Caenorhabditis elegans: one gene and its partner. The protein of the gene in region 1 purifies or fractionates together with the protein of each later gene. This does not show direct contact. Each region holds a gene or a part of one and is shown on either strand. Other genes may lie near its edges.

Region 1 (4,991 bases):
GACAGCCTGGCACTACGTGTAAGAATGATTAAAAGTCACGGCTGCGGTCGAGGTTCAGAACCATCTCGCTGAAACTCTGCCAGTTCATAATATGAGGGAGTCTGAAAGTGCTAACATTTCGTTATCACTCATTTCTTATCATTATAAACTTCTAGGAATCGGTGCCGGCATTGTGCCAGGAAACGTCGATCGCTCGTTGTTCACGGAAATTTTGCGCATCAAGTCTGACGATGCGATGCAAATGGCGCGGCGACTCGCCGACGAGGAGGCAATTCTCGGTGGAATCTCGTCCGGAGCCAACGTCGTCGCTGCCGTGGAGCTGGCTAGTCGCCCCGAGAACAAGGGAAAATTGATTGTGACCACTGTGAACAGCTTTGCAGAGAGATACTTGTGAGTTTATAGTGTAGTTTTTTTTAATCGAAACTTAAATTTTCAGCACCACGGAGCTGTACTCGGATGTGCTCAATGAAGTTTCACAATTGACTTTTTCAAGTGACGATGAGGCGATGGGAATTGCGAAGAAATATTTGGGTCTCTAAATGTATTTAACTGACATAAGATTGAGAATTTTTGGAAATTTAAAATAAATTGTATTCCCCAGCCAGCCATGAAAGAGTTTAATTATTTCAAACAAAAATTAAACAAAATTAATTTAGTAGGTCTTGTGCGGACTTAAAATATTAAAAGGCTTCAATAGTACCCTAATTTTTCTGGGCACAATACATCACATTAATAGGGAAATATGGGGTATCAATAACCTTCACATCAGGGAATCCGCATTTTTTAAGCAGGTCGGTAGCACGTTTCTGCCCCCACATTGCACCATAACACAGAGCATCTGGGCAGTTACTTCCGACAGGGAGACAATGGAACATGGAGCACCCGTACATCATTGCAGCCAATGGGCCCATGGCGGCTTTATCGGTGTATACGTTACTGGAGCCGAGCACCTCTACCATAGCGAACATCCCGCTTGGCTTGAGAACTCGGTGGATTTCTTGGACGCACTGAAAATTATAAAATATCTTTTTAGAAAATTTAAGATTTTCAGTACCAAATCTGGTCTCCGCTGATCGTGGCATGCATCAAAAATAAGCACCAAATCGAAGGAGTCCGTCCAGATTTCTGGCATTTTTCCGGCGTCACATTCAATAAATTCGAGATTGTTGAAAGCCGCTCCTGATTTAGTCTTGCGTTGTTTCGCCTGCCGGATGGCATCTTCTCCAATGTCTAGCCCGACAAAATGCGACTTTGGGTATTGCTCGGCGAGCAGCGAAGAATGGAATCCACCGCCGCACCCGACGTCCAGGACTCGTACTCCGCCGGCTTCAAGCTTCTCGACGACTCCGTTGCCGATGTCCGGAAGCATATCTGCTACCACATGCTTCTCATGAAGTGCCTGGCTCATAGTTCCCATGAAATATTGGAATTTTGTGAATTGCGCGTACTCCAGGCCAAGTGGCCCGTCTTTCCTGAAGCAGTCGATGAGCTCGTCGAGAGGCTCCAACAAGGTGGCCATCATTCCGTTCATCACGGCTTCGAAGCTTGAATTGGAGAGCTCCTGGAATGATACAATGGTTACTGTAGGATTACTATAGTTTTGGAAAAAATGGGCTTTTGATGGGATGTTGGATTGTGGCTACTGTAGGAATACTGTATGAGTACCTCACGATTACTGTAGTTTCAGAAAACATATGTTGCTGTCATTTGGAAATACATTTGGTGAGGGTTACTGTAGGGTTACTGTAGGGATACTATAGGAATACATTAGGATGAGGGGTAGGTGGCAACTGCCGTTCGGCAATTTTTTTTATCGATAAGTTCGGCAAATTGCCGGTTTGCCAATTTTCCGAATATTTTCAGTTCTGATAACTTGCCGAATTGTCGAACATTTTCATTTCCGGCAATTTGCCGGTTTGCCGATTTGGCGAACAAATTTCCCGTTTTCTTTCGATATTTTCATATAATTTGCCTACTTTTCCAAATAGATCTAGGAAAATTAGTAGGATACGTACAATTTTGCCGATTAAAATTGTAATTCTAAAATTTCCAGAAAAAAATGTGCAAGACCACAATTTGCCAAAAATTTCCGGCAATTGGCGTTTTTCAGGCAAAATCGGCGAATCGGAATTTTGCCGGTTTGCCGTTTGCCGGAAATTTCAATTCCGGCAATTCCGGAAAAATCGTTCGCGGCCTACCCCTGATTAGGATTACTGTAGTTTCAAAAAAGTTTCACTTGCCCCGCTGTTATTACATAATAGTTTGCACGTGGTGTTAGAGTGTTTCATTTCGGCTTGATCTACGTAGATCAACAAAAAATGCGGAAAAGGACACTCAGAGTTCTCAACTGATTTTACATGGTTAAGAACGTGCTGACCTCATACTTTTTTGGGCAAAAAATTCCCGCATTTTTTGTAGATCAAAGCGTAATGGAACAATCTGACACCACGTGAGTTTGTAGTTATTGTGCAAACACCAATGAACCTTATTTTAGGCTCAAAAACCCTTCCGAAAAAATTTTTAAAAAATTTTAAAAACGCAAATAATTACCTGAACATTTTCGGCGGCGATCCAAAACTTCTCCTCCTCGTTCACTTCAATAATCTGCCCACAGGCCATGCAATTACACCATTCTCGAATGTACCTAGAGAATTTCAATTTTTCGAGAAACTCTTTAAAAAATCTCAAAAACCTCTCTTTGCAGCCTGCCGCTTCGGCAAGTTGCTCCGGGAGCACTGGCCCCTTTTCGCTGGAAATATCAGCCAAAGTTTTGAACAAGTTTAGGCGATTCCCAATGTTAATGGCATTCGAGATTACATTGCTGACGGCGAGGTTCTGCAAAATATGCACACCTATATACAAATTTCTAATCGTTAATTCAAAAATTAATAGAACTCACAAATAATTTCTCCTTCATTGAGGTAGAACAGGTTTGTTGTTGCGACATAGTGATCAATTGAACATACACAAAATTGGAAAATCGAGACTATTTATATACCGTTGTCCACGTGTTGTGTAGTGTGAAGAGACGCAAAGTGTAAAAAAGATGAGATCTGTTATACAACACCCTTTTCGAATGCTCTTTATCGCCAGAAAAAGACAGTTATAGCAGGCTGGAGGATGTACGTGATTATTGTCATTTGTAGGTTGAGAAAGTGATCTATGATGCAAATTATTGTAGCTTTTATTATAACAGAACATCTTTATGTTCTAGTATTGTAATTCCGCAAAAATGTAACGTATCTGTTTAAAGGCACATGATGCTTTTCGAGTGGGTCTCGGCACGATCTGAAGGTAGATGAAGGTGGAAGGTGGAAGGTAGGATGTGCCAAGTTTTACGATTTAAAAGTATGTACATATATTTAAATGTTAAAAAATTTGCAAAAAATTCAATCAACAAACAATTTTTAACCTTCAAACTTTGCCGAAAATATGTTTTTTGTGACATCACTCAAAATTCTGACCTTTTCCAATTTTTGATCATTTGACCGCACGATCTGCTGTCGCAATTGACTAGAGTCACGTACGGTGGTCATTTGCTAGAGATTGATTAGTTGCGGAGACCCCGACAATGTGAGGGAATCGCAGAAAAAATTATAGATCACGAAAAGACATTGCAGTTTCAAAAATAAACTTTTCTGGTTACGAATTTTTCAAAAAATGTCTTCTTCGTCTAAAATGAAAGAAAAACTATTCGTGAGTTGATTTGCCTCTAATTACCGCGCCTAACCTGCTTGTAGTTTGTGGTGAAATTAAGGGGTTTTCGTATGTTTGGCAGTAGGCACCAGGCAGGCGTAGGCTGCCTTCTATGCATGAAGGCATAGCGCATGAAAGCACTACTATATTTCAGAACCTAGCAGTAAGCAATGTGGTCTCGAATGCTATTAACGTTGGCCTACGCCTAGACTTGTTCAAAATTTTGTCTGAAATTTCAAGTGAAGCAAGCCCAGTGCTCCCGGAGCATCTTGCCAACGCTGCCGGTTGCAAAGAGAGGTTTGTACATTTTTCTATGCCTGCCTACCTGCCGCCTATAGTTCCGACATAATATTTTTCCAAATGTATATTCGAGAATGGTGTAACTGCATGGCTTGTGGAGGAATCATTGAGGTTAATGAGAAGGAACAGTTTTGGATTCACGTGGAGAATGTGAAGGTTTTTAAATTGTACCCACATTATCTTACAAATTTATATAAATTTTCTTCAGGACCTGCTAACCAATAGTCTTGCACTAGTGATGATTGGCTCCACGCCAACTCTTCTGGAACCATTTGAAAAACTCATTGAATGCTTCAAAAAGGATGGGCCGTACGGTCTCGATTATTCGGAGATCTCAAAATTTCAATATTTTATGGGAAAAATGAGTCAGGCACTTCACGAGAAGCATGTGATAACTGATATGCTTCCGGACATCGGTCACGGAGTTGTCGAGAAGCTTGAAACCGGTGGAATGCGGGTTCTGGACGTCGGGTGTGGTGGTGGATCCCATTCTTCGTTGCTCGCCGAGCAATACCCAAAAGCACATTTTGTCGGGCTAGAAATTGGAGAAGATGCCATTCGGCAGGCGAAACAACGAAAAACTAAATCAGGAGCGGCTTTCAACAATCTCGAATTTATACAATGCGACGCTGGAAAAATGCCAGAAATTTGGACGGATTCCTTCGATTTGGTCCTTATTTTTGATGCGTGCCACGATCAATGCAGGCCTGACCTAGTAAGTGAAAAATATTTTTGCGCGTAGGATATATCGTTCATTGAGACCGTGTTTGAACTTTTTTCCAGGTGTGTATCTCAAGCACACAATACGTTAGATTTGACGCGCAAGATTATTCTTAACGGATTGTTCACGTGGTGCCAGACTGTCTCATCACGGTTGATCTACAAAAAATGCGGGAATTTTTTGCCCAAAGATATGTGACGTCAGCACGTTCTTAACCATACAAAATCAGTTGAGTAGTCTGCTTCAAGTGCACAAAAAAGGGGTAAGGCGGTGA
Region 2 (5,993 bases), on another chromosome or scaffold:
TCGTGCAAATACACTCCGGATGGAGGAGGAAAAAGGCAAGACGAGGCACATCGAAAACAGAAAATTCAGATATTCCAACACAATAATTATATCATTACACATCTCGTAATATATGCACCGCCCGCCTCAAGATACCTCATCCATTAATGAACCTATTTAGAAATCCTATTAAGCTTTCCCTGCTTGCTTACCTCCTGGGTGTCCACTGTGACAGATTTCTCAATTCATGTTTTAATTTCTCTTTGTACTGAATTATAATTTTAATGTTTCAAGTTTTAATAATAACTTTGGTCTGCTTTTCGAAATGATAATTAATGTTTACTTTTAGTTTTTCAAAAATTCCAACTTGCTTTTTCTAGACTTTTCAAGAGAAATTTATTTTTTTGTAAAACGGTATATTTGCCGTTTGCACATCACACCTTTTGCCGGGAGCAGTACGGAGCCCACATTCTCATAATTTCATTAGTTAATGAAAATGTGGCAAATGGTAATTTGATCCTAACAGGAAAAGCGACCCCTTGGAGTGAGAGAGAGAGAGAAATTGAAAGACAAAGGTGAAAGGGCAGGAAAACAAGGAAAAATAATGTGTACCCCCTCCCCTTTTAAGCCCGCTTGCCCCCCCCCCCCCCCCCCGTCATTTTCGGTGGTTGGCAAAAGTCGCCATCTTTTAACACATTAACTAATTGAATATGTTGATCGCCATTCGGTTCTCGGTAGATTTTCTTATTTTCCAGGCAAAGGGAAAATCGAATTAGTCTAATTCATTGTCATAGCATGGTTTCCGTTTTGTGATCTTTTCACTGACAAGATTTGATAAGAAGTTCACTTTTTTTCTGTATTGGCGGTAAACATGAAAGTTGAGTAGATCTTATCAAATTAGACAATCAAAACCTCTAAATTCCATTAATATCAATCTGAACTGTTTTTCTTTTTTATTTATTCCAACTGTCGTAGAGATGTGTTTTCGAAATCCGCTTATCTGATTTGATTTCGACTTTTTAGTATCCCATCATCGTGATCTGTAAAATCTAGGAATATCTAATTTTAGACAGTGATTTTTTGGCATATATATAAAATCCTACTCATCATTTGTTTAAGGATTGAGGACATAAAAAGAGACAGAGGATATTGGGATAAACTAGCACTTAAGATTCAAAAATTTTGGAATTTGTGCGTTGTGCGTAAATGAAGAATTAGAATGCCTCACCATTCAAAATAACACTCACATTTTGTTAATTCGGCAAGCCATGTTGCCAAATCCTTTCGCCCACAATCAAATTATCTTCTTAAAATTCTATATTTGTCAGGTAGATCATCTCGAAATAAACCAGATAAACGCATCACTTTTTGGCTCTTCCCTTTTTTCCTAACATCATGTATTTTTACAAGGAAATATCAAAATACCGGGCTCAATCATCAGGCGATTTTGGGCGTGGACTTTTATTTGAACTAAGCTTTCTGTCTACTTTGATGAGTTCCAAGCTTCTTCTTGTAAAATTGAATTCATTTACTCATCATAGTAAAAATATTAATTTTTCTGAATGCAAATAAGTCCATGATTCAATTAGCTGACTTTACTTCTACACATCATATTATTCTCTAGCATTATCTTCATGTTGATTTGTCTTTTTTATTCGTTTCGTTTTATTCGTTTGATCATTTCTCATTGTTATTTTCAACATAAAGCTATACATTTTTTCCAGCTGTTTTCGCTTCCTTCTTTCAACTTTGGTAAATCGTTTCAACTTGGATTCACATTGTGTATGCCCGAGTTGAAGAAAGAAGACTCTTCCAAAGACGAGAAAGATCTAGACATGAACTGCCCGCCACTTCACAGGCCCAATGGAGCTGATTTGAATCAGTATTCAAAAAGTCTTATGGAACAGTTACAGGTAGCGTTGTTAAATATTTTTAAATTTTAACACGTCGTTTTTAGGCACAATTGTTTGCAAATCCAGCGTTACAGTTCCCATCATTTCCACCAGCTTTTTCTATTGCGGCGCTGACTAATAATCAGCATGAGCTGAAAGAAGACGATGGAAAGAAAACGCCCACTGGAGGTAAGATATTATTTTTTAATTTAATTTAATAAAATATATTCGTAAGTTTTCAGATAATATTTTAGAAGCTGCCTCAGTACTTGACAATAGAGAAAACGGATCCCCTTCAGATGGCACAAACAGTCCGGATGATAATGGAAAGAGGAAACAAAGAAGATACCGTACAACATTCAGTGCATTTCAGTTGGACGAGCTTGAGAAGGTGTTTGCCAGGACTCACTATCCAGATGTGTTCACTCGGTAAGAATGAGTTACTAATTAAATATGAAAATTTCACTTTCCTTCCCTTCTCCCTGAATTTGGAAACAGTTGTGTTGCGTTCTTACACCATATGGCACTAATTATCAATTTCAAACATTATAATGATCGAGGTCAAGTTCAGCATATTTCACCTTTTTTACCTTCTACATTTAACATTTCTTTTACAAATCCAATTTGAAATGAAAATGAAAAATGAAGTGGTGAAGAGGTGGGGAGGACAGGAAAAAGGCGAAACTCATAATGAAGCAATCATGCAAAATGCACAATATCAAGTGTCGCGTTGCGTGTGTTTGCGCACAGACGCTTTAATTGAAGAAGCACAAACTCATTTGCTCAATATTAGAGAGGGCCATTTAGTTTTACGAGGGTCGCATAATTTCTAGAACCAAGGGACTAGATTTTTATAAAATTAGATTAATTAAACAAACAATGTAGCGAGTAGAAATGTAATCTGTTGTTTTGGTAAAAGTTGGAAAGTATTATTTTGCTATTCAACTTTGAGCAGGCAACCAAATGCTTAATTTATTAATTTTTCAAACTCTGAAGGTTGCAAAGTATATACTGTTGGAGCTAGATCTTTGGAAAAAATCTGATTTTCATAGAAAAATTAGCGAATCCTAGACATTCTCACCTGTGATGATCTTATCGTGATCCTATCTTACTAACAAGAATTAACAGGAATTAAGACGTGGGTAGGTGTCTTGTGTAGGAAGAGCGTGACCACCTGTTCCGTTCATCAATTAGATATTGCACGGATTAATTACTGACTTTTGCCTCTTAAGCCATGCGTTTACCCAAAAACAATGCGTGATCAATTGACGCAGTGCCGAAAGAAGTACCAAGGTCCGGTCTCAATTCAGATCTAATTGAGCAATGACAATTGCTCCGGCGTGGTGCTACCATTCAAGAACCCCTCTTACTAGATTCCCCCTTCCTTTTAAAACCGCTTTCAAGTGCTTAATTACACCGAAAATCTTTTGCAGGGAAGAATTGGCAACACGAGTCCAGCTCACAGAGGCCCGAGTTCAAGTAAGTTACAGTAGGATTTCATCTCGAGATCTCTTCGCCCAAATTCATTTGATAATGCATAACGAATTATAAATGCGCCAATAGTGGGGCACATTGAAAAGGCAGTATTGGTCCCATCATGTGGTGGTGTTGGAATGACGCGACGAGATTGTGTAGATTGAATATATCACGAATGAGTACTTATACCCAGCGAATGAAAAAATTAGTTAAGCACGCGATGTTATCTAAATTGCTTCACGCGATTGCTTGCTAATCTCTTTTTTCTAATAGATCATCGTCACCTTGCTTTTAAATAAGGTAACGAGGGGGGACCAACACATTGGCGTTAATAGCTCATCTGCTCGGTTCATATTACAGTTATAATAAAATTAATGTCGATCTAATGCGATAAGTGGTATCTATTGTTAGGTAAGATACATGTTAGATTAAATCTAACCAATATAAAAATTGTTTTGTGACTTTTGAAACATTATTTAATCAATCAATAAAAAAATTATCATTGGGACTTGTATATCACAGTTAAACAGTAAGACGACCATTCGCATGTAAGAAAGTTAAACAAAGCAAATTCCGATGCATCATCTTTTAGAATATTTGTTTCAAGAATTAAGTAGTAAGAAAAACAAGCTTACAATTTAAATATTCTTGCGTAGTGAATCGTTTCCCAGCGTCATCTTCATCGTTATGTTTTTCAGGTTTGGTTTCAAAACAGACGAGCCAAGTATCGCAAACAAGAACGCAGCAGTACTCATCACCCTTATCAAGCTCCAATGAGTATTCCAAATTCAAATGGAGATAATCCGTACCAGATGATGCTCAGCCAAGAAGCTATTTTTGCAGCTATCAATCAGCAAGCCGCGGCTCATCTTTTAAGTAAGTTTTTTACTGTTATATACCAAATTGATAGTTCTTCATGCCTAGCGCAAGTTACTGCAACTATAAAATTTCAGATGAACAAGTACGGATTGCAACATCTGATCGTCGGTCTCAGTCCCCGTCTGTACCAGTGACCACATCTTCTCCAATCTTGCCAACTTCTGTGACACCTACGTTCCAAAACGCAGATGCATTAAATATGTTGTTCGGTGGAATTACTCCTGTTACGCAGCAGTTGCTTTATGTTCAACAATTCAGCAGAGCTATGGATGCTTTCCGCACTCAGCTTCTGGGATCAGTCCCAGCAGGAGCTACGGCTGAAGTCACCGATGTTGTAGCATTAAAAACTGAAGACTCGAAATCGAATAGTAGAGCGGGAAGCTCATCACCCACTCCAACTGAAAGTTCCGGAGCTGCTGCAACATCCACGAGTCCTACGAATTTTGCTGACATGAATAGTCTGATATCCGATGTGAAGCCAAAAGAAGAAAGTTCATGAGTAAACACAATTAAAAAAATTTCACTACAAAAATTAGAAATTCTCCTCTTTATTTGCATTTAATAGATTGCCTGGTCCAAAAAGTTATTCAACAAAATTTGCAATACACCTAACGTTTCATATGTGTGATTCCCGTCCTATATATTTTGAATATTCAAGATTTTGAAATGTTTTCCAAGTTTCCTTTCACAGTCCAAACACCCATATTCTCCTGACCGCCAATGTTCTCGATTACCTCGAAATGTAGGCATTAAAATGGTTTTCGGCTTTACTATACTCCAGCTTTTATTAGTTTGTGTCGTTGTTATACCGAAGTTAGCCGGTGAGCTCTTCGCCTTATTCAAATCCTCAACCTCCCCTTTTCAATGACAATTAGAATTCCTTGACTCAAATTGAAATCGGATCTCCATTTTCTCCACTCATCGTGACGTTTTGTTTTAAACTTACCTTTGTATTTTGTTTTCAACATTTCCTAATAATCCTTTGTCAAATCTATGTAGTTTGGGAAGCACTGTTCATAGATTATTTAATCAACGCTCGTGTTATACACTGAACAACAACCTCTTTTTTCTAAACTCGCCTCTTTAATTGTTAACTGAATCCAAAACACCAAAGGCCTCCCCTCTCCAAAATCTGTACTTTTGATTTGCATATAATATATATATATATTCACTGCACTTTTTCTTTCAAGATTTTTATTGGATTTTAATAAATTTAGTAAAATAACCTCTGGTACACTATAAAAATGAATCCTTCGAAGATCACAGTATAGTATTATTATTTTAAATAAATCGTAAAATGCAATTATGATAGATAGATAATACAAAATTAAACTTTTTTTCGGTAATTGTGTGATAACTGTACCCAAAATAGTATTCAATATTTTCCAGAAATAAAACGTAAATCCTTTCTGTATTGTAGGCTTAGAAAAAAATCGTTCATAAGCGTGAAATAAAAATACCAATAAAACACGTATGTTGACTATTATGGAAATTCCTCCATTTCGAACATTTTGGAGTACAACAACTACACAAGTATCGTTTTTCTTTTCTAGAGGCGTTTTCTTTTCCAGAGACTCATTCTGCTCACGATTGATAATTTCATCACGAAACGTCTTGAATGATACTCGAAAGTATTATTTGACTATTCAAAATTTGAAAAAGCATCTAAATTTATTTTTATATTTTTAATGTTATGGCTTGCCCGTTTTTTGTCAGCTATATTGGGACGATTAAAACAATCAACCTAAAAAAGTTTTCCTTCATTCA

What was found.
Region 2: the proteins of rips-1 (region 1) and alr-1 fractionate together in Caenorhabditis elegans (co-fractionation; one large-scale study listed by BioGRID). This does not show direct contact.

Annotation. Positions count from the first base shown.
Region 1 is NC_003283.11:3,770,145-3,775,135, reverse strand, and holds rips-1 (Methyltransferase domain-containing protein), read right to left. Parts: upstream 3,116-4,991; 5' UTR 2,948-3,115; coding exon 2,900-2,947; intron 2,836-2,899; coding exon 2,693-2,835; intron 2,645-2,692; coding exon 2,551-2,644; intron 1,562-2,550; coding exon 1,055-1,561; intron 1,008-1,054; coding exon 702-1,007; 3' UTR 540-701; downstream 1-539. Other genes in the region: cysl-3 (Cysteine synthase 3), read left to right, coding at 156-390, 437-539; R08E5.1 (Methyltransferase domain-containing protein), read left to right, coding at 3,661-3,696, 3,851-3,993, 4,035-4,152, 4,205-4,711.
Region 2 is NC_003284.9:11,121,329-11,127,321, reverse strand, and holds alr-1 (Homeobox ARX homolog alr-1), read left to right. Parts: upstream 1-1,701; 5' UTR 1,702-1,763; coding exon 1,764-1,892; intron 1,893-1,936; coding exon 1,937-2,060; intron 2,061-2,113; coding exon 2,114-2,300; intron 2,301-2,378; exon of another isoform or gene 2,379-2,671; intron 2,672-3,104; exon of another isoform or gene 3,105-3,251; intron 3,252-3,304; coding exon 3,305-3,350; intron 3,351-4,045; coding exon 4,046-4,223; intron 4,224-4,300; coding exon 4,301-4,725; 3' UTR 4,726-5,451; downstream 5,452-5,993. UniProt on the Caenorhabditis elegans protein: Transcription factor. Involved in activating or repressing transcription of genes in neurons. Regulates expression of nuclear hormone receptor odr-7 and LIM homeodomain protein lin-11 in AWA and ASG chemosensory neurons.